Linked DNA regions of Elephas maximus indicus. The protein of the gene in region 1 interacts with the protein of each later gene in a biochemical or structural test. Links are inferred from orthologs where the notes say so. Each region holds a gene or a part of one and is shown in the gene's direction. Other genes may lie near its edges.

Region 1 (6,911 bases):
TTGGTATTCTGTCAATTCCTGGTTCCTTGTTTTTTCACCAGTGTCTGAAGTGCAGCTTGGACTTCTTCCTTCAATACTATTGGTTCTTGATCACAAGCTACCTCCTGATATTGTTGAACATAGACCGATTCCATAGCAATTGTCCAAACCAAAAACCAAACCCATTGCCATCAAGTCAATTCTGACTGACAGTCAATCCTACAGGACAGAGTAGGACTTCCCATAGGGTTTCCAAGGAACGGCTGGTGAATTCAAACTGCCAACCTTTTGGTTAGCAGCCAAGCTCTTAACCACCTCGACACTAGGGCTCCGTAGCAACGGTAGTGAATATTCATTTAAACTGACAGAAAGATGCTAGTGTCTATAACATCAATGATATTCTCCTGTTAAATTTATTGATATCTCCATTTCTTTGCATTTTCATTGTCAAGAGAATAAAAGTCTGTATTCTACATGTGATCTTAAAAGAAAGATGGTTTCTTTGCCCTTTTCTATTAGGTTTATTCTTGATGATACAATCCATTGTAAAAATCACTTTTGTCCCGGTTGCTACATAAGAAGTCATTCTTTCTGGCTTTATTTGAGGAGCAGAGATTATATCTTCTTCTTTTGTAACCACTTATAGAGACTAATTGAGCACTCTCTCTATAAGATCTCAATTAACTGTGCAAACACAAGACAGAATACAGCAAGCATTTTAATGGAGGTGTAATGAAATGAAATATTTCCCTATCAGTAGGGAGAGATGCCACAAAGATAAGTGTATGGCCTAGTGGTCAATGGTGCAAAAGTTTATTTCTCTTAAAATTACGAGGAAATTAATTTCAAGTCCTTCACCTTCAAATAACTGCTTATAGTAGTACAGGCCTTCATCTCCCTTCAATCCTTTCTAGAACTCTGTGAGGTACGGCTATAATGTCATGCTTATTTTACCAGTGAGGAAACTGAAACTCAGACAAAGTAATTACTCAGATACCAAACCAAAAGCCAAACCCGTTGCCGTCGAGTCAATTCTGACTCATAGCAACCCTGTAGACAAGTAATAGACAAACTACTACTCAGCCAAAGTCACACAGGTAATTCAAGGCAAAGCGAGGACTCCAACTCAAGTCTGATTTTGAAGCTAGTGGAATCTTTCCATTTTGTCATTGCTCCTATAGCCAAGAACTGTGCCCCAGGTGTTCCTAAGCATGTTGAGTTGGCTCCATGACCCAAAGTAAACCATATGCACCCTTTATCGAAATACAATTCGCTCCTGTTCTATCCTCAAGATGGACCATGGAGTTTATGATTCTGTATTTGTGAGTCTCCGTTGCACACTATACAATTCCTCTTTATCAATGTATACACTATACAGATCTCAACCTCAGCATTCTCCAGACACCAACATTTCCAAACAGGGTTTTGTGAGAAGGGAAATTCTTGTGGTCCCAAATATTTTAGTGACAAACAACATGACGGGCCTTTTCCACAATCTCAATGCCTAAAATCCCGCACTTAGGCTTTTTTTTTTCCTTTGTAAATAAATGATAAATGTAAATATCCCTTGACACTTTAGGGTGAATGCATTTGTAGGCAGCATTCATGGAAGCAAGTATGAAGACAGTTTAGACAGAATTTTGAGAAACAAAGTAGCAATACAGAAAGGTTAACTGGTGATTAGAAAAGAGTAGACTAGAAACTTTTACAGTTTTGTCTGCTTCATACCTCCACCCCCAATTTTAAGTTCATTCTGTGGGATCATTGAGAATTGAAAATCTAATTTAATCATTTTCACCAATTAACACCTTTAATATTCGTTCACAAGAATGTCACAGTGGCTTCACACTTGTAACAATCCTGTCCCTCCATCATTTCTCCAATGAGGCTGCCAGCCCTGCTGAAAGAAAAGCGTGCGAGCTCACCCCTGTCCCATGAAGAGATACAACTCTCCTAACACTTTATTGTCTCCTGGGAGTCTGCAACCTTTGCACGCATGTCAGTGGCAAAAATCACTTCACAAACTATGTATCAATTGACTAAAATATAGTATTGGCAAAATTTATAATAATATCCTGTAAATAGTAACACAGGATTTATAAAAATTCATTAAGCCTTTAAAAAAAAAAAGTTGCCATGGAGTCGATTCAAACTCATGGTGACCCCATGTGTGTCAGAGTAGAACTGTGCCCTGTAGGCTTTTGGACGGCTGATGGATCTCTGGGTGAATTCTAACCTGCAACCTTTCGGCTTGAGCTCAGTTAACCATTTGCACCACCCAGGGACTTATGAATCCCCTGAATTCCAACTATTCACTCTAGAAGCTAAAAGAAGTAGCTTAAAGGTAAATTGTTGAGCAATCCAAAGATCACAGGGGCTCACCTCAGACCAGTTTAATCCCAATCAAATGATCCTCTGCTCTTCTGCCAAACGCTTCAGGGGGAAACAGGCCTGCAAGGCAGAGCGGAAACTTGCTAGGGGCAATCTAGTATCTTGCAACACTGCCTGGTTGTTACCTGATTCCTGACATTTTAAAAGTAAATTTGCAGAATTGTCACTGAACTCAGTAGTGGGAAAAAAAAAATTTTTTTTTTTAAAGGTGCTCTAAAACACACATCTGTTTCAGCTCAAGATGTCTTATCTGGGGAGCTAATCCACACCAGGGCATCCCCAGGCCCGTGCCTAGCACAATGCCTGGCATGTAAAGAAGCTCAAATGACCAGTGAATGCTGGTCACTGACAGGCTCATCTGTGGTTTCTAGTAGCGGTCCCTTCAGAAAAACAAACAAAACAGAAAATTTCCCTGCCAGATCAGTATGTATTTATGGGCTGTGACCGGAACCATTGCTACCACCATCACTATAGTCTATCCACAGTAATTATTATAAAAGCCTAGCAATGCCCTGTAGATGAAAGTTCTGGATAACTGCCATATAACCAGGGGGTTTAAGATCTCACTAAAAAAAAAAAAAAAATTAAAAGTAGATGTTTATACTTCACTGGAAACAAATCAATTATAATATTGAAATTCCAGTTTAAATCTGAAGAGACGTGAGTGTAATTGAGACATACTTAAATGGAACACACAGATGAGATTTATTTTTATAAACGGTATGCTTGGATCCTTGCCGACCCATCCCCTCCAGCGGGTCGGGCCTGCGCTGAGGGGCTCTATGATGGTCCGACTCTAAGAACTGCACAGCCTCCGCCTCCGCGGCCTCCGCACCGCCTGCTTCCAGGGACAATCCAGCCCCGCCGGCGCTTCTAGGGGGCGTCCCCACTCGGGAGCGCCCAACCGGCAAGTGGCAGCCCCGCATGGGGCCCCAGCGTCCCGGCCGCCTCCCTCACGCCCCTCGTCCTGCGCCCCGACGCGGCCCAGGAGGGCGGGAGCCGAATTAGGGTAGCGAGGCCGGGCCGGGGGCGCGCGGGGCCCCCAGAAGTGCGGGCTTCCCCCACCCCCGGCGGCGACCCCACCTCCCGCCTCCGCCGCGTGCGCGCGTGTGTCCGTCTGTCTGTCTTCTCTCTCGACGTCAGTGGGAATTTCCAGCCAGGAAGTGAGAGAGTGAGCGAGAGAGAGAGCAAGAGAGAAGTGCACCAGCGAGCTGGGGCAGGAAGAGGAGGTTTCGCCACCGAAGCGGCCCGGCGACGCGCTGACAGCTTCCCCTGCCCTTCCAGTCGGTCGGGCTCCCGCCGCCGCCGCCGCCCACGGCCTGCGCCCTGCCGCCCGCCCCGCTCCGAGAGCCCCTCGCCACCCAGGCCGGAGCCGCCGCGGCTGGGAAGACGGCGCCGCTGCGGCCCGGCCACCGCGCGCCCTGCGCTTCCCTCCGCCCGCGCTGCGGCATGGCGCGGCGCTGACTGGCCCGGCCCGGCGAGACCGCGCGCCCTCCCGCTCCTACCCGCCCCGCACCCGGACAGCTTCGACTCCGGCCTCTTCGTCCCCGAGCCCCCAGGCCCGCGCTGCCCCGGACGGGGAGCCCACAGGCGCAGTGAGGCCAGCGCAGACTCGCGACCACGGTAAGCCAAACTCGGGCCAGTGGGGGCCACGCTAGGAACGTGTGGCCCGAGTCCCGCCACCAACCCACCCCGCACCCTCTACAGCCGTGCTCGCACTTCCTCATTCCTGCGCTAACCGCTGGGCTACACCGTAGGAAGAGGTTGACAGTAGTTGCGAAGCACATGGGATTGGCGAGAGAGGGGAAAAGACATCCGGACATCGCAGGCGCCGATCGGCCGAAGGGCCGCAGCCGCTGGGGCCGTCCTTTCCCTTCCCCTCCATGAACTCCAGCTGGGAACGGGAACCTTAGGGGAACTCTTTGCAAACTTTTTATTTAATCCTCACCCCCACCCCCGTTTGGGTGGTGGAGAGAGGGTTGAGATGCACTGTGGCGCGGAGAAGACTGGGGAAGGTGGTTGGTGCAGTGCTGAACCAGATTTCACCTAAGGGCCTTTCCATAAAATGAAAGCAGAAGTGCATGTCAGTCGTCTTGGCTTGGAAAACCCTCCCTAACTCCTCAGAATTGTATAGGAGAGGCTTTCTCTTCCTTCTGTTTCTGAAAGAAACCCCATTTCACATACCCTGCACACACCCCAACCGGGATATAGTATATTCACCTACTGTAGAACCTGTACGTTAGTTTTCAAAAATAAGAAGGGCCTGACATTTGAGAGGGAAAACAGACTACCTACTTAGATCACTTTTGAGGCCTCTTGATTTTGTAGAACACTTGGACAGTGGCACGTGCATAATCTCTAAAACAAATGTTATAAATAAAGCTTATCCCAAATGCAAGTTTTCCTGGGGTCTTTAAAATACACCCAGATGAGGATGTTTGCTCTGATTCATTGGTCTATCCTGAAACTTAAATAGGACTTAATGCAACAGGATTTGATTAGCAAGGTTTCAGACCTATTTATGGACTTTGTTAAGTAGGGTTTTTCAGTATTGTATCTTATGAAATAACCATATTTAACGTAAAGATTTTGTTATAAAGCTTATGAACGGAAAAACGATTATGGATTACTAAAACATTTAATGGCTTTGGCATAAAAATGTTCTTCCACCAACTGGTCATCTTTGATAAACACGAAAGCTTGGGATCTAGATGTTCGGTGATTATTTTTCTAGCAAAATTCTTCAACTGAATATTCTTGAGTAGTTTACGTGATTGTTGGTTAAAACTTTAACAGGAAAACTTGATTAAAACAAAGACCTTAGCTGAAGAATATTGTTTTCCTGATTTTAATATTGTGCTTTCTAGAGATGAATCCTTTTACCATCTAATGCACTATAGAAATCGTGTAAATAACTTAAAGCAAAAAAAAAAAAATTTTTTTTGAGCTTCTGAGATTGGGGAGATAGGAAATAAGAAATTTGTTTCCTGTAGCATTTTACATTTATCATGTAACTGAGTTGCTAAAATGAAATGAACATATATGATAAGGGAAATGGGGACTCTCCTGAGATGATTCATCCTTGTTGATATACCTGCAACTCCTAATGCCCTCCAGAGCTTGTTCAGATAAAATGTCTTCCTGGGCCAAAGCCTACTGGACAGACTGGAACACAAAGGAAGACTCATTACATGTAGATTTAATGCTGAAATTAAATACTGCTTGTTGTGAGTAGCAAACCACTTCTAACAAGTTTGAAAGACTTTTTAAAGAAAACAGTACAATCCTATTAGGACTTGGTGGTAATTTGAAATGCTGTTATCTTTGCTTTGAAACTTCAATTTATTGGTATTTTCTGCAGTTTGCACTCACTTGGCCTGAATAAATGCCCCTGTTGTTCAAACTCAGTTAGTAAATACTGGAGTATACATACAAAATAGTCATTCCCCTTTGTAAGCACTACTTTGATCTTTGCACTTCCTTTTTACCTCTTAAACAAGATCATCTGTGATGACTGAATTGCAGTTGCAGGAAGCTCAATTAGTCTGAAATGAGGCAGGATTTTAAATTCAGTAATCATCTAGCTCATATGTCTCTTGTCATTGTTCCTTTGAACAAATTGAAGGTAGTTTGAGAAGTTAATATCTATGTACGGCTTTTTAAATTATTATTACTGGTTTCAAACGTCCAGATAATGATGAAGTGTGTTACTACTTAGACTTTCAGGGATTGTTCATTGTGGTAGAAAGGAGGTCCAGATAAGGAATTGGCGGCTACTTGGATCTTGGAGTATCATTCAGTCAGCAAGGCCTTAAATGTTTTACCTAATTTATGAGAGGTATTCCCCTGTTCAGAAGAGGTGAAAGTTCTGGCTTCTGGGGGGAAGTGGTTACTCATAACCTTCAATTAGTTTGAACTTGGGAGAAATAAGAACAGTAGTTGGCATTTTAAAACAGTAAGTTAAAAATTATGTCTAAGTTCTCATATGGATTTTTGATAAAGCACTATAAAAAAAATACCATCTTTTTCTTCTTCAGAGTTCATGAGGAGTAAATGTGCTGCCTGAGCACTGGCGAGGGCCCAGTGGGAAATGTACTTAGGACTGCTGAGTAGTTTAGCCTGTAAAGATTCAAGTTATGCTCTCCTGGTCTGCAGATCTAGCTGGAAAGGAACCACATTAACAGGAATGAATGTATACAAATCAGTGTCTTACAGAGTTTCTGGTTAATTTGTCCTACCTTTTATAGGAAGGTGTCTTTTTTTTGGTTGGTTGATTGGTTTTCTGTTTATAATATGAATCCTATATGTTTTGATTGTTGGAAGAGGAGAAGGAAGAATAGAATTTTAGGACTGGAGGAGACTGTAAGACGTTTTGTTCCTGTTCCTACGTTTACGTCTGATCAGACTTTTCTCTCAGTTCAATGACAACTGCTTCTTGGTGACCAGTAAACCACACTGGAGCTATTTACCCTTGTTGCTGGGAATTATTTCTCATTTGCGTTCTTGCACTTCCCATAAATACTGAACTCACAGTGTTCATA
Region 2 (7,132 bases), on another chromosome or scaffold:
CGGGGGACCCCAGGCCCTCACCCTGCCCCCCACCCAGGCCCCACCCAAACCCCCTCGGCTGCACCTGGAGACCCCTCAACCCTCCTCCCAGCCCTCCCCGCAGGAGGCAGGGGACGTGGACATCTGGAGGACTCCAGAGGCTGGCCCTGCCCGCAACGGGCTGACCCCCCAGTCCGGGGCAGAGGAGCCCTTCCTGTCCCATGCCAGCTCCCTGCTCTCCCTGCACGTGGACCTGGGGCCCTCCATCCTGGATGATGTGCTCCAGATCATGGACCAGGACCAGGACCTGGACCGCGTACAGATCCCCACGTAGCACCTGCAGCCAGGCCGGGCAGATTCAGGGCAGTGTGTGGACACAGCCCTGGCCTAGGAGGCAGACCCCAGGTCCCACCTGTTTGGTGGTGGCCGTGGTTTCTCACTTTGAGCCTTTGTTTCTCTCCCTCCATCCTCATCCATGGGCAGAGTGCCCACATGGCTTCCCCCTAACAGCCCACCAAGGACATGGGCAAGAGGCGCCGGCCCAAACAGCCCTGAACCCCCCGACAATGGCTCTTCCTCTCCTCAGACTCCTTGGGTAAAGGCTGTGCTGAAGAGAACTCCCCTTCTCACCTCCTTTCTGCTCAGTCCAGTGGGGTGTCCTGACTGGTGGGGGGAGGTGGGGGTGAGGAAGGCAGGGCTCAGCCAGGTGGAGGTTTGGGACCTTTGGCTTCACATCTTAGTCCGGGGGCATCACAGCAGTGACTGAAGGTGTCCTGCTTAGTCCCCTTCCACATGACTGGGGGATTCTGGTTGTAATAAAACTTGGTGCTGCTGGTGGCTGTCTTCCCATGCCTTGTCCCGTTTGTCTTAGGTTTCCTCCTGAAGCTGGGCCACTGTCTGCACTGCGAACTCACCCTGCAGGGGACCCCAGTCCGAGAGGCCTTTGTGGGGATTAGGCCCTGGCTGTAGTGAGGATGGAGCAGGAACAGACCAAGTGACCAACTGTGGCCGTTCCCACATTGGTTGGGTGCTGGCTGGTGTGGGCTGGGCTTGGGGCTGGTCGTGCCCAGGCAGCCAGGGTCTGTTGGAGGAGACCCAAGGGTAAGACGAAGCACAAAGGCTGTACAGGGGACTCTCAGGGAGATTCTCTGGCATCAGGGGGCTGGGGAGCATGCAGGAGTGGGGGACAGACCTGGCCGTGTTGCCCATCAGCTGGAGCCACAGCTGTTTACTGAGCATCCACCATGTGCCAGGTGTGGCTCCAGGTGCTGGGGTACAAGACAGACTAGATCCCTGCTCTCTTGGAGCTGACATTCCAGCGTGGGAGGAGGTTGATAACGTTTGTAAACAGGTAAGATGATTTCCAACAATGGTGGATGCTATGAAGAAAACAGTGTGATGAAGAAAACAGCTGGGACCAGTGCCGTGGTGTCAGGGCACATAAAGGTGATCAGATGTGATTCTGTGATCTCCGGGCCGCTCTTCACTGGCCTGGGTGGTGCCTTTTTGAAACCTAGTCTGACTGTTCTTTCCTGCTTCAAATCCTTTGGGAGCTCCCCCATTGCCTCAGCTTCAGCCTTGCAAGCAAAACTGCTCTAAGGTGATTTGAACCACTTTTCCAACATCAGAGTCCTGCCTTTCTGGAGCCCCAAGTCACACACCACAACCATTTTGGAACAGTGATCTCTAATTTTCTCAATAACCCTGTGAGGTGGGTATCTTTAGCTCCATTTTACAGAAGTTAAAACTCAGTCTCACATAGTCAGACTCCAAGGTCAGTGCTATTTCTGTCACATAGCAGTTCCTCACCATCATTTACTCTGGTACCTCAGTGCCCTGGTAAAGTTTGTGAAGGCAAAGGGTTAGGGAGCTGAAGGCCCAGCACCTTCTTGCCTGCAAGCTCCTCCTCAGTGCTTGGGCGTTTGTTCTCTTCTGCCTTGGAAGGGAAAGACAAGAAAAAGAGACACTTCCTTATTGCTGCACCCACCCTGAAGGCACCACCTCACCCTGGAGCTGAGCTGAGGCCAGAGTAGCCACAGAAGGAGGACATTTCTGTGCTGGGTCCCCCTGGACCTCTCTCGATCCACCTTACATCAGGCACCAGCCAAAGGACCCCGGGAACCACTTAGGGCTGTGACATGGGGTGGATAAAGAACTAGGGAGGGGACCTGAAGCACCTGACTGAACTTGGACTACCAGCTTACTCCAAGGTAGCCAGGGGTAGGGAGAAAAGGGACTGTACCTCTTCAGCTTTTATAATGGGGTTCAGGTACCGTGTCCCCAAAATAGGAAGAAAAGTTGTTGGACAGCCAGAAAAATTACCAGTGTTTCTAAGGGTCTACTGTTATGGATATTCAACTTCCATGCATGTCTTATATTAGTGTTTACTCTTAAAATACATACAAATGTTGTTAGGTACTATTGAGTCGATTTCCCACTCAGAGTGACCCCATGTGACCAAGTTGAACTGTCCCACAGGGTTTCCTAGGCTGTAATCTTTATGGAAGCAGATTGCCAGGTCTTTCTTCCATGGACCAGATGAGTGGGTTCAAACCACTGACCACTGAACCATTGTGCCAACAGGGTTCCTTATACATGCACCCTAAGGAGCCCTGGTGGCGCAACGGTTAAGTAATTCTAAAGTTCCTTACCACCAACATACCCTATGTACAAGAGTGAATGGAGGATGAAAATACATAAAAAATATATTTGACACAGCGAGAAAAAAACACACGTAGAAGCTACAGACTTTTTCTACAAGGAAGCTGTAGCTGGTATGAATAACTCCCCTCCTTCATGGCCCAGAACATGTTCCGTTGGCTTTCAGCCAGTATCTTGGCTGGTCAGGGTTCTTTACAAGGAGATGTGTCCCAGACCTCATTTTGGACCACCCAGGTAGCCTGATCAGGGCTGCAAGTCCGAGGAAGTTGGAGTCCCAACTTAGTGTGTGTGTGTCTAGGAGGGGGCCGGGGATCTGATTTCCTACCTTGGACAGACTCTGCGTTTTGATTTTTGTCCCTGTCCCCAAAGACTGCCAACCAGTAGCTAAATTTCACAGTCATAGCTTCCAGATTAGCAAATGCCCGCAGGGCAAACTGTGCCTAGGGTTTCCAAAGCTGTAATCTTTACAGAAGCAGACTGCCACATCTTTCTCTTGAGGAGTGGCTGGTGGGTTTGAACTACCAACCTTTGGGTTAGCAGCCCAGCACTTAACCACTGCACCACCAGGGCTCCTTCTTGACAGTCTTGGCTACTAATTTAAAAAGATCCTTATTGTGCTCCCCAGCCCCGGGTGGACGCATTCCTTCCTTGGGTCCTGTTAGTTGCCCTGGAGTTGATTCCCACTATGGCAACCCATGTGTGCAGAGAACTGCTCCATAGGGTTTTCAAGGCTGTGACCTTTTGGAAGCAGATCGTCAGGCCTGACTTTCTAGGTGCCTCCGGGTGGGTTTGAATCGCCAACCTTTCAGCTAGTAGTGGCACTCAACCATTCATGCCACCCAGGGGCTCCTTGGATCCTGAAGGCTCTAAACCAGACAGAGCCCAGCCCAGAGATGCAGAAACAGAAAACATTTTGCAAAAGGGTCCATTAGTTGAGAATGCCAGAGGCTGCACCTCCCACTTCCACTCCTTGGTTCCCATATCCACGTATTCAGTGCAGTTCGGTGGGTAGGTTTGGTGGCAGGAAGATGAGGTAACTTTTGTCGCCCTCCCTTCCCCTTCCTTTCCTTTCCCTAAAATGGGCACAAGTGGGCTGTGCACCACTCTCACCTTCCATACCACCAATCCCCATCTATGAGTAAAGGCACAAGGGTTAACCACGTGGTTAAAGACGCATGCGCTCCCACCAGACCATCCCTGGAACACTGGCTGTTCTCGCCAACATTTTTGCCTTCTCATTTCTGTGTGGGGCAGATCCTTCCTCCCTCCTCCCGCTCCTCCAAATGGAAGAGGCGGGACTAGAACAGGTGCAGCGGGGCGCGCGCCCGTCCCCGGTCGCGCCTGCGCGTCGGGCTGCCTTTGGCTCCCTCACACCTTTCCTGCCCGACGCCCGCTAACGGGCACGGAGGTTACTTTCCAGCGCTCGCTCTCGAGCGCGCGCGCCCGGGCGGCGCCTGCGCAGAGGGACGAGGAAACGCACTCCCTGGCGCGGCCCCGGCGCCTGCGCGCTGCGGGCTCCGGGGCCTCCCGGCCTGAGGGAGAGGAGCAGGGAAGATGGCGGCCGTGGTGGAAAATGTAGTGAAGCTGTGAGTGGTCCTTTCTTTCTCTGCGAGCCCGGGAGGTCTTGTGAGAGGCCTGGGAGTGGGGGCGGTGCGGGAAGGGAACGAGGCGAAGGCAGAGCCAGGCCCGGGAAGGCCGTGGTGCGACTCCTAGCGGGGAGGGCAACAGGAGGCTCCGGAGGAGACGTTGCGCTTCTTTGGAAACTTGTGGAGGCCCGGAGGGGGCAGGCGGGAGCCCCCAACGGCCCTCCCTGCGAGGTTGGTGGCCTGAGCGCTCCCTCAGGACCTGCGACACCCCGAGTATGGCGCCCTTGCCGCCTGCGGAAGACACGCCATCCCGGGTCCCCTCCCGAGACGCCTCAGTCGGAGGAGCGGGGCCGACCGTTTCCCCGCAGCCGGCCCGGAGCAACAGGCTCGGAGCCTGTGCGGGGAAGGGCTGCGGGGCCCAGTGTCCCAGCCGCCCGGGACGGCGGGGGGCGCGCTGTCAGGGACCCCAGACTCCAGCTCTCCTTGGGAGGAATCTGTGGAGAAGCAGCTCCGGAAGAGAAAGCGCTTAAGAGGAGCGGGCCTTTGTGCCGGCCTGTCCCGGCCGTCAAAACATCGGGGACTGAACGGAAGCAGTCCCGACAACTTCATGTATCCTGGAGGGACGTCTAGGTCTGCATTCCTGGTCCTAGACGATACCGCTGTGCTGGGCGGATTTCAGGCAGAGTTCAGAGTTAGAGGTGTCGGAAAAACGGAGAATGGCCTGTTAGTTGCTTCCTGTGAATTTAAAGATGCTTTGGGACTTGGTTTGACCGCAGCTCCTCCCAGAAGAAGGATTCGAGTGAGTTTTGAGATGGCTTAATACCCCGTGGGCCAGTGTCGTTGTTAGGTACCAGTCCAGTCGATTCCCACTCATAGCGACCCCATGTGACAGAGTAAAACTGCCACATAAGGTTTTCTAGGCTGTAACCTGTAATCTTTAGGGGAGCAGATCGCCAGGTTGGGTAGGTTCGAAGCATCAACCTTTCAACCTTTCACTTAGTAGCCCAGCGCTTAACCATTGCGCCACCAGGGCTCTCTTGTGGGCCAGTAGGGCAAGTTTTTTTTAACGGGCTTGGTGCAGGCAGAGGAAGATTAAGAGGTAGCTGTCCAGCCAGGGCTTTAGGTTTTGGCTGGTGAAAAGGCGAAGGTTGGGGGACTATTCTAAGGGCTTCACAGCTTCTCATCTGTCATTGAGTCCTGCTCTTCCCCAGAGCCTTCTATAAGGGTACATTGCGTCTTCCCCCTGCCTGGAGCCTTTTCTGTGAGAATGCTTTCCCGCTTGCATTAAGCTAAGTGCCTTCTCTTGTGGGTTTTTTTTTTTTTTTTTAACTAGCTTTCTGCTCTATCCTGCTGCCTCTTTCAGCCGCCCCTCCTCCCAGCACCATTATCTTCCTCTCTGATCTGCCCACTCCAGTTTCCCCTCTGCCGTCTTCTCAGGCTGACATTTTCCTCAATTTGGGAATGACAATGTTGATCTACCATTTCTATAGTTATCTTTCCTGACTCAAATGTTCTTTGTTTCCCCTGCTCTTCCCATGGTTAACTCCCCCCATCCTATTGTGAGGGGAGGTTTTCTACTGGTTTAACGCATCCCTGAGAAAGAATCAAGGCTGCCACCTAGAGAACCTTACTGTACTGAGGAAATGTCAGGCTTGCCTAGGTTTTAAGAGTTATAAGTAATGAGGGTCTTCATGCTAGAAGACTTTCTTCAGGGAAATAGCAGGTAGTTGGTAAGGGGTGCCTTGCCCATTTTAAATACAACGTGACTTTTTATTTCTCTTTAAAGAACTGAGGAGATTGTGAGGGTCACCAGCCCCTGGTTGCTGAGTACCAATAATGAGGAACCACCTATGTCCTCCTTAGTTCTAGCTGCAGAGGACTCTGGACCACACTTGATACATTCCAGGCAGAACTCTCTCTTTCAGAAGGGGCATCCATTCTGCCTGTACCATTCTCACCCTGGAAAGAGCTGCTTTTCTGGTGCTTCTCTTGATTGTGGTATGCCTGTCTTCTGACAGCTGAGGTTATACCTTGAGGTCAGGACTTCTTATTTCCTGGCTTACATCTTGTCCTGGGAGAAGAGTTCTTCAATTAGTAAATTCTCTGTCCCTCCCAAATATGGGGTCAGAAGTGAAACCATCTCTAAGGGGTCTTACCAGAGTAAGATAAAAACTGATTGCCATCAAGTCAATTCTGACTCATAGCGACCCTGTAGAACAGAGTAGAACTGCCTCATGGGGTTCTAAGGCTGCAGTCTTCATGGAAGCAGACCGCCATATCTTTCTTCTGCAGAGCAGCTTGTGCGTTTGATCTGCCGACCTTTCAGTTATCAGCCAAGTGCTTTAACCACTGCACTGCCAGGGCTCCTTCCAGGGTGAAACCAAACCCATTGTCGTCGAGTCAGTTCTGACTCATGATGACCCTGTAGGACAGAGTAGAACTGCCCCATAGGGCTTTCAGGGGGCATCTGGTGGTAAGATAGTAGCATAAAATAGCTGTGGCTGCTGACTGGTTTTAACAAGATCTGGAGAATAATATTTGATTGGAATTTCTTGCTACAGCAGCCTCGAGTTCTTAAGCTCTATCTCCTCCCTTGCTCAGTCCTCATCAGACTTCCCCCTTCACATGCTTCGTTTCCAGCCCTCTTACCCACCACAGCAGTTTGCCCACCTTCTGAAATGCCACTTAACTCCCAAAAGCTTTTACAGAACTTCTCTCATCCATTCCCCCAGTCCACTTCCAGCCTCCTTGCTCTTGACTTTGCAGCCCTCAGCCAGTCTGGTTCTTCCTTCCATTTGGCTTCCCAGTGTCAGTATCAATTCCCATCAGCAGAAACAAAGGAGCTGCTGCGCTCAGCCTTGTTTATCCAGTTTTCCTCTGTGTAGTGAGGACATGGCTGCCTCCTA
Region 3 (6,959 bases), on another chromosome or scaffold:
GCAATTTCAATATTTTTTCTGTTTATCAAGATGTTGCTCATTGGTCCAGTTGTGATGTGTGGTGGCCCTGCCCTTTAAAAAACCAAAAAACCAAAACCTGTTGGCATCAAGTGGATTCCAACTCATAGGGACCCTACCCTATAGTCACTGCTCAATAGCACACAGCCTCAAAGCAGGAATAAAAAGGAATGTTTTTCTGCTGCAGCTGAAAATATCTTTTGAAACAGTCCGCTCATATCCTCCAGAGCAGGATTGCTAGCAGATGTAGGCAGTGACGTGGACATGTCTTATCTGGAGGGAAAAGAGCGTTTAACATGATAAATATCTTGGGACATGATAAAACCCAGAGGCCCCTTCCTGAGCCATCACCCTTTCTTTTTAAAAATCTAGTACTGCATCTGACCTCATCAGAGAGATTTATGTTCGGTTGAAAACTAAGTTATTTTGAGCTGAACAAAATGAGAACTCTTAAAGTTGTACAGTGAGGAAACCTTTGGCATATCAACGATGCCTCCCTAAGTTTCTCATGGACAGTGATTTTTCAGTAGTGACAGAATTAAAGAGAAACCTTTCATGGCATCATATGGGAAAAAACAGACTCTACATAGGGCCCAGCACATACAAACCAAAAAACCAAACCCATTGCTGTCCAGTCTATTCCAATTCATAGCAACCCTATAGGACAGGGTAGAACTGCCCCTTAGGGTTTCCAGGCAGCACCTGGTGGATTCGAACTGCTGGCCTTTTAGTTAGCAGCTTAGCTCTTAACTACTATGTCACCAGGGTTTCCGGTAGTGCCGTGCATATTCTTAGTGCCTCACATATTCTAAATACAATATAGGTACTTGTATAATAAATAAATGAAATATTTTGAGCGCATACATTTCATTTATTTATTATACAAGTACCTATATTGTTTTTGGAATATGCAAGGCACTAAGGGCTTTACCTGGGTGGCACAAATGGCTTGAGCTTGGCTATTAACTAAAAGGTTGGTGGTTCTAATCCACCCAGCAGCACCATGGAAGAAGGTCCTGGGAATCTACATGCATAAGATTATAGCCACCGAAAACGCTACGGAGCACAGTTCTACTATGAAACACACGGGGTTGCCATAAGTCAGAATTGACTTTATTACAACAGGTTTTTTTTTTCTTTTTTTTAAGAGCTTTATAGAAGGTGCTTTACACCACCACCCATCTCTCAGGTTGTCATATTGTGGTGGCCTACTTGTTGCTGTGATGGTGGAAGCAACGCCCCTGGTATTTCAAATACCAGCAGGGTCACCCATGGTGGACCAGTTTTAGCAGAGCTTCTACACTAAGACAGACTAGGAAGAAAGGCCTGGTGAACTACTTCAAAATTTAGCCAATGAAAACACTATGATCACAATGGAATATTGTTAACATAGTACTGGAAGATGACCCCCTACGTAGCGTTAACCTTACTGTAGTGGGCCCAAGATGGAGTTACTTACGCTAGCCCCACATTAGCAAACCAAAACCTAGCCAGTTTCTACTCCTGTAAATGCTTGACCTTCTCAGTGTTACCGGAATAAGGTTCTTGCCTCTTACTGGTCAAGAACGAGCAGGTAAGGCACGTAGAGTTTTCCGCATGAGCAAAGCTTTATTGAAGAGGTTTGCAAGCGGTGATATGGAGGGCCTAGAGCAACGCTACCCTCTTAAAGACGGGCCTGAGTTTTTAAAAGTTCTTGGGCGGGAAAAGATTCATGTTTATTCACAGACACAGGCGGGGACATGTTAACGAAGGTGCGCACACAGCAGCTTTCCAAGACGGCTCCTGTCTCAGAGCCCTCTGGGATTTGTGGGGTGTCGTGCCTGCTCAGTCTCTCGCTCCCTGGGTTCAATTCCCCGGCTGGGGCTGTAGCCCCTCTCTGCCCCTGGTGGAAGGTCACACAGCAGTCACAGGTGGATGTTCTGCGCATGTCCCTGGGCCTGGTTTTCCCAGCTGCTTCTGAAAGGCAATTTTAAAGAAGTTTGCAAGCTATTTTTTGATACCCTCTCCCATTGTTCTGGGGAATGGCTTTGTTTCTGTGCCCTGGCCCATTTCTTGTTACTTTGTTTCCACATTTGGGGGCCCCTCCATTCTCTGCCTTACTAAGTCTCTAGGTTCCACATTCAACCCATTACCTCCCTGATAGTATAGTCTATTTCTCTTTTACTTGCTTCTCCTTTAACCACCCCAGTCCCTTCGCTATTTCTCAAACGGGCACCCTCCGATCTCAGGGCCTTTGCTCCCTGTCTTACCAGGAGCCAAAATCTGAAACTAAAACCTAAGCTAGCCAATTAGGACTTGCCTGCTGAGTTTAATCTAGTTCAAAATTGCCCCTTTATCCCAAATAAAGAAAGAAAATGCCTGCCAGCCAATTCAAAATTTGCCTAGTGTGTCTTCCTTGTTCCTGTGTGTCTGTGACAAAATAACCCTTTTGCTTTGTCCTGCTCTTCAGAGCGCTTGTCAGACTTGCAGACCCAATTTTCATGAACTGAAAAATAAAGCTTGTGAGTTTGTACGCAAATTTAATATTGTGGAAGCTTTCATTTGTAACAGTTGGAAGGCACTCAAAATGCACAATAACTGCAACAATGAACTCAAATATACCAGTGATCGTGAAGATGGTGACATTTGGTTGTGTTATACATAAGGTCACCGTGAGTTGGAGCTGACTGGAGGGCAACTAACAACAATAACAAGCGCTCTACAACTATTTGCTCAAGTAGTTGTTGGTTGTTTGGGTGGACACCTGTTCCTAAGAGTTAAGATCAACCTGCTGGCTCTGTTTAGGTGACAGGCATGTCCTCTGTGCCAGGCACTGCTTTCACCATGAGTTCATCTGTTCTTCTCCACAACCCTGCTGGCATCTCCTCCTGTGACTCTGTGTCCTCCTGCTGCTATTAAGCCGAACTAAATGAGGTTGCTGATCTTTGATCGTTGTTAATGTTTCAACAAAACGACAGTTCTAAATGTGCATTTTTTTTTAAAGGCAATCTCATGCAATTCAACCTAATATTGCCTCCATTTTAAAGAGAAAACTGAGGCTTAGAGCAATTAAGTAACTTGCACTAAAGTTTTAGAGGTAGTCGGTAGCAGTATCTGGATTCAAAATCTAGTTTGCCTCCTTCTGAGCCTCTTAGCACGCTACTTTTAACCAAATATTAAGAGCATGGGCCCAGGAAGGAGCCCTGGTGGCTCAGTGGTTAAGAGCTACAGTGAGCTATGGCTGCTCACCAAAAAGGTCTGCAGTCCGAATCCACCAGCCACTCCTTGGAAACTCTATGGAGCACTTCTACTCTGTCCTATACGATCGGAATCCACTCGTAGGCAACTGGTTTGGGCCCAGGAACCAGCTGCTTGGGTTTGAATCTCAAATCATTTATTTACTAGCCCTATGACTTTGGGATAAAAACTTTTCCTCTCTGTGCATCAGTTTCCTGCTCTGTAAAATGGTGACAATAGTAACACAGCTATTATCTAATTTATAGGGTTGCGGTGAGGATTAAAAGAGGAAATCTAAGAGTTTAGGACTGTGCCTGGCACTTAGTAAGCACTCTATAAACTATTATCAGGGTCCTTTAATCTCTTTTCTCTCTTGAGTAAAATACACCAACATACAAAAAACTTCTTTGTCTACTAAGATTAGGACTGAGAAACTCACTAGTAGAGGACCTCATGATAATGCCAAGCAGGTAGGAGATGAGCCTCAGAGTTGAGACTCCCCACATCACTGAGACTGGAACTTTAGTTTAGCACTACACTACTGGATTGGATTTTTCTTTCTGGGGGGACGGGGCAGTCACCCGGGCAGGGGTCGCGGGGGGGACCCAAGCTCCGCGCGGCCGCCGGTGGGCACTGGGAGTGACCCGGGCTTGCTCTGCGGCGGCCCCTTTAAGAGCCGGTCGCAGGCCCACGTGCCGCGGTGACGTCAGAGCAGGAAGTGTTTGAGGAAGTCGCTCTCTGCTGGCTGGGTTAGGATTCCCGCATTTTAATGTCTTCGGGGTGGTGTCAGAGCCCCCGGTTGTGCTGCCCCAGCCCCCATCTCCCCGGCCCGGGGAGCCTTTCCCCTGCCAGGCGTCCCTGCCGACAGGTGAGTCCCGCGGGCCGGAGGGAGCGGAAGCCTTGCGGTGCCCACCTGCGGACCCCGCGTCTTCCTTGCCCCGGTCGGGCTCTCCATCTCCTCACTAGAGGCTGCCGTAGAAACTTTCGTCGAGTTTAAAAATCAGGTGTTTGCCGACATGGAAGTGTTTCCCTTTAGCGGGTTGGAGTTGGGAGGCCCGGGAGAACAGCCTTGGCCAGAGGGGTTCCAGGTGGTTGCTTAGAGGTGGGTGGCATTGAGAGAGAACCGTGATTCTCTGGGACCTTGTAGAGGCGCACGTGACCGTGGTGGCGCGCAGAGCTAGATCCCCTCCCTGCTGCTTTCGGGAGAATGCGGGCACGGAAGGGGATCCCCTCTAGAGGTCATGGGGTGTGGGGCATCACCTCAGTTGAGTGACTTTCCTCTCTACTTCCTTCCACAACAACTGGAGGGCGGGTGAGAAAGACAGAAGTTTACTACCTAAAACTACAAACAAACAAAAAAAACCTGGTTTATTTACAAGATAAAAACCAGTTCAGTTTTTTTTTTTTTTTTTTCCTGTCGTATTGAAGGGCAAAACTTATGCCCTGCCTTCTCCATCTCCCTGAGCAGGAACTTGCCCCGTTTTTTCTTAACTTTTTTTGTCCTTCACCCCGAATTACTTACAGAGTTAGCGCAACATCAATATGAGCTGGTCACCTTCCCTGGCAACTCAGACATGTGGGCCCTGGGAAATGAAGGAACGACTTGGGACAGGGGCATTTGGAAACGTCATCCGATGGCACAATCAGGTAGGGCTCTGTGCAGCCTGGAAGAGGCAGGGGTGGGCAGAGGGCTGGAAGAGCGGGTGTCGGGTTCACCTTTACTGTCTCAGGGCACTTGCAGATTTCTGCCCCACGTTGTTCGGGGTAGGTGAGTGGGTTACACTTTTTGCCCTGAGCTTCTTGGGAGAGAGTGAGAAGGGGGATAGGAAGGAGGCATCAGGACTGCTAAGCTGACTCTAGGTTCAAACCTGTTGCCATTGAGTCAGTTCTGACTCATAGCGACCCCGTGGGACAGAACAGAACTGTCCCATGGGTTTTCCAAGGAGCAGCTGGTGGATTCCAACTGCCAACCTTTTGGCTAGCGGCCAAGCTCTTAACCAGTGCACCATCAGGGCACCAACTCTAGGTTAGTAGTTTCCAAATTTTATTGGCCTTAATAAATAATAAAAAAGTTTAAGCTCTCAGCCTCAATTATATGTATTTTAAGTTATTTATACCAGAAAACGAAACCTATTGTTGTTGAGTCAATTCCAACATATGGTGACCTTATAGGACAGAGTAGAACTACCCCATAGGGTTTCCAAGGAGCAGCTGGTGGATTCGAACTGCTGACGTTTTGGTTAGCAGCCGTAGCTCTTGACCACTGCACCACCAGGGCTCCATTTCTGGACTTAAGGGATGGGAAATTGCTCATCTCTTCCCAGGAACCTGGCTGCAGCGAGCAGAGTGGGGCGTTGAGGCTGCTGGCCAGCCATGTCAGGCGTTTACTTCAGACGGCCACCCTTCTTTATCACTTAGTTGATAGACATTCCAGGCCCTGCCTGAATCCCATCAGCTCTGAATGGGCAGAGCAACCCCTGGAGGGATGTCAGAGCTGGAGCTGGAGGGCAGAGTACAGTTTTGCAGGTGGTAATATTCTCTCTCCCAATGTGGGAACTAGGGTTCCAACAAACCCTATGGCTGAGGATGCCTGAGAAATACAACTGGCTCAAATTTGTCCTGGTCAGAGTATAGCCAGGGGCCTAGCAGTAAAAAACAGAAGAACCTGATCACTCTACCAAAGCAGAAAAAAAAGACCCATGGCCGTAGAGTCAATGCCAACTCATAGTGACTCTACAGGACAGAGTAGAACTGCCCAGTAGGGTTTCCAAGGAGCTGCAGGTAGCTTTGAACTGCAGATCTTTGGTTAGCAGGTAAGCTCTTAACCACTGCTCCACCAGGGCTTTGATCATTCTGCAGCCCCACAGAATTCTCGAATTCTGTCATCTCTAGCTCAGAATGACTTCTGTATGCTCTCTAGACTTGGAAAGTCAGGATATTGCAAGGTAGAATTTGTTTCCAGCTTTATCAATATGGGCCTAAGAACGTGTTCCCGTATGTATGGATTAAACCAAAAAAAACCAAACCCGTTGGCCATCGAGTTGATTCCGACTCATAGCAACCCTAAAAGACAGAGTAGCACTGCCCCATAGGGCTTCCAAGGAGCAGCTGATGGGTTCGAACTGCCGACCTTTTGGTTACTAGCTGAGCTCTCAACCACTGTGCCACCAGACCCCTGTGTATGGATTAAAAACCAAAAAAAAAAAACAAAAACAAAACACATTGCCGCTGAGTCCCTTCTGACTCATAGCAACCCTAAAGGACAGAGTAGAACCGCCCCATAGAGTTTCCAAGGAGCACCTGGTGGATTTGAACTGCTGACCTTTTGGTTAGCAGTTGTAGCGCTTAACCACTTTGGCACAGTTTTCTAGAATTACTCCCATCCCCTGCTCAAAAACCTTAATTTGTTTTTTATTTTTACAAAGCCGAACTCTTCATCCTGTCGTTTGAGGCTCCTCCACAGTCAGGTCCCACCCTGTCTTTCTAGCCTCTCCTCCCTCTTGGCTCCTGACAGGTTGGTTGGCTGAGTCCTTTCTCTGGGACAAGCATCCTTCTCAACGCCTTGACATAAATTCTGCCCGTCCGTCCCTCCGGCACCAGCTCTAGGCCACCTCCTCCGTAAACCCATCACAGGCTGCTTCATTCCATGGGAATTCGTTTTTCTGTTGAATTCCTTCAGCTTCACTCAGTTGGCATACCTCATATGCTGCCATTTTGTCTGTGTG
Region 4 (7,160 bases), on another chromosome or scaffold:
TGGAATGCACCTGTTGCATATCTCTTGCACTGTACTTACAGCTATAATGAAGCTAATGTTTGTTGAGTACAACTTATGTGGCAAGCATTCTGCACATTCATTCTCCATTTAATCTTCAAAACAGCTCTAGATTTTGAACACTATTATATGCATTTTATAGAAAAGGAAACTGAACTTTATACCTGTTTTATAGGAAAGGGTAAACTCAGACAGGTGTAACTTGTCCAAGATCATATTGCAGAAGATTTGAAACCCAAGTGGTCTGGCCTGCGTTCTTAACCTTTTTGCTTTACTGTTTTACCTTAAATCTAAACTTTTGGTCGTAAGAGGCTAAGGAACCTTTTTTTGAAGTATTTCTGTATATATGTTTCCTCGAAGAATAAGAATTTGGTCCTGACCCAGTTGAAAGACATGAGCCAGCCTGGGGAGTTTTTATTATCTGGTGATGCCTAACTGAATGACTTCTCAAAACTGTGCAAATAAGTTGACTGCTTATGTCTGTGTGGTGAATGAACAGTTTTCACTTGCCTTTTCCTTGGCATTTTTTAAACACTAAGTGACACTTTGAAAATGACATGTGTCCAAAGCTACTAGTACAGTGGAGTGTTCTTGAATAGAATATTTATAACTAATGGTTTATAAAATTAAACAAGTTTTAAATTTACTCAAGGCATTGCAACATGGTAACCACAACCAAATCCAGTGCCGTGGAGTCGATTCCGACTCATAGCGACCCTATAGGACAGAGTAGAACTACCGCATAGAGTTTCCAAGGAGCTCCTGGCGGATTCGGACTGCCGACCCTTTGGCTAGCAGCCGTAGCACTTAACCACTACGCCATCAGGGTTTCCACAGAGACCTTTCTTTTTTTTCCCCTTTTTCTGACCACCCATATTTTTTCATCCCAGGGCAGATTTGAGGGATAAGATGATGAGCTCAGTTTTTAGTGTGTTTTAGACACTTTTGACTTGGAAGGGGCACTGACATGGATTGGATTTGGAGCTCAGGAGCAGAACTAGAGTTTGATACATACATTTACTTAAAAATCCATCTTCTAAACTATTACAGTATAAAGAATTTGGGTAGATTTAGAGGCAAAGCTATATGTTGTAGTCATGGGCAGAGTCTTGATTTAGGAGATGAGAATTTTATCTTTAGTTCTGTTATGCTTTCAGATCGTGAGACTTTGGGCACAGGGACTGAATTTGCACATATGAAAAAACTGAGTTACTGATCTAGATTTTCAGTCTTTTCTATTACTGAGAAAGTTCTAATATACTTGGGCTCTGTTATTTAAATATTTCTAATAAGTATAGATGATACCTCTGGATCAGGAACCAGAAAATGTGTTCCCAAGAACGACCTTGGCACCATAGAGTGTATAACTGTGCGGGGACGAGGAAGGGCGCAAGGAAGAAGACAGATCAGAGGCCCAGTTAAGCCAATAAAATAATACAAAACTTTACGTACACATTCTTCTATATAGAAATGCACAAAAGCTACATGCCAGAGCAAAGGTGTGGACAGTCATTTCTGTTTTGGTTTAATACCATTGTTCATCCTTATTTTTGAGATTTCTGAAACAGCTATTTAAACACAAATAGCAGTGTTGAAAGTGCTAGTAAGAAAAGGTATGTGATTGCAATGGAGAAGAAAGCGGAACTTTACATAGATGTCTTCACATTAATTATTGGGACAGTGTCACTTTGTACTTATGAACAGATGCATTTTGGAACAGCCATTTGGAACTTCACCTTTTTCAGAGAAGCTCCACCAGGAAACATTCCTTGTTTCTGGTTATACTTTCTTACTGTGGTTTTTCAAATTTTAGATAGTGGTTTCCTCTTTATCCCAAGTACTGCAGTCATATTTAATTTTATAAAGATTATATGTAAAAATAGCCAAAATATCTAAAGATAAATATTTAAAACAGTATCTGTAGACATTGGTAATTTCCCTAGAAAAGGTTTTGCTCTAGTTATTTTGGTACCTGGCACATAGCCTTGCAAATTGTAGGCACTCAAGCATTTGTTCACTTGAATTAGGGTACACAATTTTCAAATTGAGACATGTACTATTAGTGCTAAGTTGGTGGTAGAAGTAGTAAGTGCTATATTTCTGAAGGGAGTGATCCCTATGGGTTGAGGCATAGAGATTGGGAGGGTTTATGGAAGAAATGGGATTTGAATTGAGCATTGATGAATGGAAAAGATAATCAGTGGCTGCTGAGAAGTGGAAGGGATATCCCAGGTACAGGGAAAAGTAGAAGTTGAGAAAGGAGGCAAGAATGTACTTTCTGTGGAGGACAATACAAAGATAGGCCTAATATAGAGAAATTGGGTTGAGTATTTAGGGGACGTTTGACCCATGGCCAGATGTATGCCTTATGTTTATATATTTGTCTGTGATCAATTAGGTCTGAGAATTTTTTTCCCCACTGGATCTGATGCACTGCTCAAAAACTACCTGAGTGAGTTAAAAATAATTTCCCAATGTTGGAGTTGTGATTTGTTTTCATTGAACTCACGGTTAAGGGAATGGGGTGGATGGGTTTGGGAGAGTGTGGGATTAGAATCTAGTGAGTAGAAATACTAGCTAAATTGATTTTTTATCTCTGGTTTTATTTTGATTCCCAGTTAAGGAGATCAGCCAGCCGTGATGACCCGTAGAGCTCAGAATATATTTAGGGAATTGGCTTTACTGAAATTAGGAAATTGAGTACATGATTTGGGTAGCACATACTCCAAACCCAAAACCAAACTCAGTGTCATGGAGTCTATTCTAACTCATATAGGACAGGGTAGAACTGCCCCATAGGGTTTTCAAGGTTGTAAGCTTTACGGAAGCAGACGGCCACATCTTTCTCCTGCAAAGCATCTGGTGGGTCCAAACTGCTGGCCTTTTGGTTACCAGCTGAGTGCTTTAACCCCTGTCCCACCAGGGCCCCTTAGCACGTACTAGCTGGATTTAAGTTTTGAGGGCAGCTGATCACTAGGTCAGCTGCATTCCTAAACTTGTCTCTTTTAAAATTATTAGGAAATTAATGGCCCATCATTTCCCTGGAATTAGCTGTCTTTTGAAATATTTATGTTAAAATTATAAATGCTATTTCCAAGAACAAAGTGTTATTTATTGTGATTATTTTTATATCTGTCTTTTCATGTCACATTAATGACCATGGCAGCATGATGCAATTTTTAATAAAATTGTGATAAACTCTTTAAGTTCAGTTTTTTTATTTTTTATTTTTGTTAGTAGTAACTCTGTTTTTTTTTTTAACAAACATCTCTGGCAGACATTTTGAAAGTATGTCTCCCTCCACTCTGAAATTGTTTTCACTCTTAAGTTGCGTTTCTGTTTTTCTGCTATTGTAAAGTGCAGTTCTTTGCATGTTCTAATTTGCCATGACGTGGTCAAGTGCTGCTTCCTTCCTGTTGCTTGCAAACCGGTGCTAGAGATAAGGACACATTTCAGTGCATTAAAAAAGAAGACTTCTACTTACCAGAAGCCCTTTTAGAGAACAGAAGGAGTGGTCTCTGCTTTTATTTTCCGCTTATTTTAAAAAGCTGCTGAAATAATACTTATTAAACCTTAAATGTATTGGGCCTTTAAACAGATTTTAAATCCTTTCATGTATTAAACCTAACAGGAATGTTGTCTGAATGTTTCTATTAAAGACCAAAATACACTTTATGAAATTACTCATGGAGCAGCCATGCCTATGTAGGTGGTTTCCTGGTTAGTGAGAGGAAGGACATTGTTTATGTAGCCTTTATTTCAATTACAGATGTCTCATAATGCTAGAGTTTTTTTTTTTTTTTTTAAATACTCATTACTTTAACTGTAGTGTAACTGGAGGGGGGTAGGAAAGACTTCATTTTCACTAACGAAAGGTACTTTAATCTTAGCAGGGATGAAATCTTCAAAGACTAACTTAAAAAGGCCTGTGTACTAATCAACTCATGTTGATTTTATTTAAAAACAGCAATTCTGTATTGGATGTTATATTCTAAATGGTTAGAATTACTTTTTCATAGCTAACTTAAGCTTTTTGTTTTTCAGGCCAAGAAGTTCCAGAGAGAAAAAACTGCCTCAGTTTGAATACAATATCAGTGAAGCAAGAAAATTTGAAGCACCTTCCCTAAAGAAAACCTGGGTGTACAGTAACTTGACAGACTTAGCTGTGGGCTTTTTTTTTACTGAAATTCATCACTGGACTCTGCTGCCTGATACTTGAACCTGTTTGGAATTTTTCTTATGTGGATCTAAGGGGAATGCTTTATTATGGCTGCTGTTGTCCAACAGAACGATCTAGTATTTGAATTTGCTAGTAACGTCATGGAGGATGAACAACAGGTAAGTAACCCAGAGAATGCTGGATTTTAATACATTTATTTGTATGATTTCTCCATTTGTATCAGAAGATTATTTACTTGAAAAGATAATAAAAGAAACTTTTATATAAAAGTAAATTTCTTAATTTCTAAATTAAAAATTTGGAGGTGATGTACTCTTATGTTTTACATACCAGTTAAGTCATAAATTATGAATCTTATCTTTAGCTTTGATATGGTAACAAGGAAGTAATACTTAATGGGGTTCAGCTTATTTTTCTGTAAAATGAAACAGCAAATGCCGTAAGTAATTATTTCAAAATACTTTGAAACATGTAAGTTCTAGAGGCACACTAACAGGACATGTAAATGGCATTTTGTAGCATAGAACTGGTTATTGTAATAGTTGCTTACAACTTTACAGTGTTATACAGTTTTAATATGTGAAATTAACATTTATAATTGTGGGCGATCCCATAATCATCCATCATTTCAGTCCACGGCGCGTGACTCTGAGGAGGTTACACAGTTTCTCTAGGTCTTGATTTTGTCATCTATAGGATGAGAGAATTAGACTGAATGATTTCCAGTTTATACAAGATGTACAATTATTCTTTCCAGAATGTAATTTGGGGAAAAAAAAAAAAAATCTAAGCGATATTGAGTAAAGGATCTAAGATGAATTGTAGTCTTTTTTTTTTTTTTGGCTAGAGTTTCTTGGGATTTGTATTTTCCGAGTTCATTTAAAAAACAGGGTGTATGAGGTGTGTAAGATATATTATGCAAGTGTTGAAGGACTCAGTTTACTGGGAAAAATATTTTGTAGACCAGTAGCTTTAAAGTAGTTTTAGTAAGAATGATCTATATACTGAAATAAGCCTCATGTCAAATACCTAATTGGAATAGGCCAACCATGATATATCATGCTTCTATTCTAAAAACTTAGTTACTACAAATAATAAAAATTGATTTCTACTTTTGCTAGGGCATTATAATTTCTTGGCTGTTTGTATTATGCTAACATTGAATTGACAGAATAAAAAGTATATAAATAAACCTACAAAAGCCAAGAATTTGAATGAAGATACCTTAAAACCAAGATGACCTCTGGCCAGGGAGGAGAAAGATTTGAGGGAGAGGACTGGTTGGTCCCAGTTAAAACTACATTAATAATTATCTGGGTTTAATCTAGAAAGGATAGAAAAGATATTTTAGGGGGAGGAAGTGTTTTGAATTTCTTCTAGAGCCGGATGTTTATCTATATGTTAAGGTTTGAAAACAGCGTGTTTACTGTGCAGCCCTCTTAGATGAAAGATCCTGTGTAGATCCCAGGCTTGACGTGATGAGGCTTGATACCAGGATGTGGCAGCAAAGAACAGAGCTATAAGTCACTCACCAGTACGCTCCAGTGTAGTGGCTTTGCACTCTTTGGTCTCTAAGAAATACATCTTATGTTATGGCTCAGTATATATACATGTGTCTACATTGCCTTAAGAAAAAAAAGTCTTCACAGAACAATGCTTATCTTTACTATGTCGAATGCACTTAATCTGTCTTGCTCAGAGTGGTTAATTATGTCTGCATAGAGAGATGGTGCTCTGAGTTGGTCATCAAAATGGGTGTGTGTGTTTTCTTAGTTACTTACTTTTATCTGGAAACCCTGGTGGCATAGTGGTTAAGTGCTACAGCTGTTAACCAAGAGGTTGGCAGTTTGAATCCGCCAGGCGCTCCTTGGAAACTCTACAGGGCAGTTCTACTCTGTCCTATATAGGGTAGCTATGAGTTGGAATCGACTCGACGGCAGTGGGTTTGGTTTGGGTACTTTTATCTGGCAAAAAAAATTTTTATTAGTTTTGTGTAGGCATTGTTGTAAGGACTTTACAAATATTAACCATATCAAGTAAGTACTGTTTTCCCTATTTTACAATGAGGAAATTGAGATAGTGGTTAAGTGACTTGCCTGAAGTCATATTGCTAGTCAGTAATGGAGCTGAAATTTGAACCCAAGCAGTTGGACTCCTGCTAACGATGTTGAATACTCTAGCAGTGATCCAGGAGAACTTCACTGTATTGAATGTTTGGGGGCAGTTAGCCTGGTTTAGACTTTTTTCATCTATGACCATGAGTATAGTAAACCACTGATTCATAGCGGGATAGACCCAGGGATGTCAATCTTGTTAGCATCTTGTCTAACCTGTGGCTTTACCTTCTGCTTTTTTTTTTTTTTGGTTGGCTGAATTTTGTTATGTTTGTTTTAAATAATAATACTGTATTGTGTTTTTGGTGACAGTTTATAGAACAAGTTAGGTTCCCATTTGACAATTTCTGCACAAATTGTTCAGTGACATTAGTTACATTTTTTATAATGTGCCAACATTTTAATTGTATTCTTCTTCCATTTCCAGTATTCCAGTTTCTCTGCCCCCTTATCTTCTCATCTTTGCTTTAGAGTAAATGTTGACCTTTTGGTCTCATACAGATGGTTTTTAATAGAACACCATTCTCATGGTGGTTTAATTTGTTCTTAATTACGTAAATAATACATAGGCCAATTATAAAAGAAGTCACCTAATACAAAAATATATTTTAAAAATACTGAAAATCTCTCTGAATCCCTAATCATATTTTCTTCCCCAGAGGAAACCAGAATTTACAATTTGATGTATAATTTTTTAGACAAAAGTATAAACAAATGAACAATATACATATACAAACCAAACTGAACCCAGTGCCGTTGAGTCGATTCTGACTCATAGTGACCCTATAGGACAGAATAGAACTGCCCCATAGAGTTTCCAAGGAGCGCCTGGCAGATTTGAACTGCCA

Evidence for each region.
Region 2: the proteins of NFKB1 (region 1) and DPF2 form a complex in vitro, tested with the Homo sapiens proteins (2 studies listed by BioGRID). The link is inferred for Elephas maximus indicus from reciprocal best matches to the Homo sapiens genes NFKB1 and DPF2.
Region 3: of the proteins of NFKB1 (region 1) and IKBKB, one has a biochemical effect on the other in vitro, tested with the Homo sapiens proteins (4 studies listed by BioGRID and IntAct). The link is inferred for Elephas maximus indicus from reciprocal best matches to the Homo sapiens genes NFKB1 and IKBKB.
Region 4: the proteins of NFKB1 (region 1) and ELF1 form a complex in vitro, tested with the Homo sapiens proteins (2 studies listed by BioGRID). The link is inferred for Elephas maximus indicus from reciprocal best matches to the Homo sapiens genes NFKB1 and ELF1.

What each region holds. Positions count from the first base shown.
Region 1 is NC_064823.1:50,252,797-50,259,707, reverse strand, and holds the start of NFKB1 (nuclear factor NF-kappa-B p105 subunit), read left to right. Parts: upstream 1-3,908; 5' UTR 3,909-3,993; intron 3,994-6,911.
Region 2 is NC_064825.1:128,496,099-128,503,230, forward strand, and holds the start of DPF2 (zinc finger protein ubi-d4), read left to right. Parts: upstream 1-4,117; 5' UTR 4,118-4,194; coding exon 4,195-4,226; intron 4,227-7,132. Other genes in the region: CDC42EP2 (cdc42 effector protein 2), read left to right, coding at 1-313. UniProt on the Homo sapiens protein: Plays an active role in transcriptional regulation by binding modified histones H3 and H4. Is a negative regulator of myeloid differentiation of hematopoietic progenitor cells. Might also have a role in the development and maturation of lymphoid cells.
Region 3 is NC_064840.1:58,150,630-58,157,588, reverse strand, and holds the start of IKBKB (inhibitor of nuclear factor kappa-B kinase subunit beta), read left to right. Parts: upstream 1-3,944; 5' UTR 3,945-4,102; intron 4,103-4,758; 5' UTR 4,759-4,776; coding exon 4,777-4,881; intron 4,882-6,959.
Region 4 is NC_064832.1:40,374,956-40,382,115, forward strand, and holds the start of ELF1 (ETS-related transcription factor Elf-1), read left to right. Parts: upstream 1-4,145; 5' UTR 4,146-4,284; coding exon 4,285-4,356; intron 4,357-7,160. Other genes in the region: kelch repeat and BTB domain-containing protein 6-like, read left to right, coding at 4,063-4,145.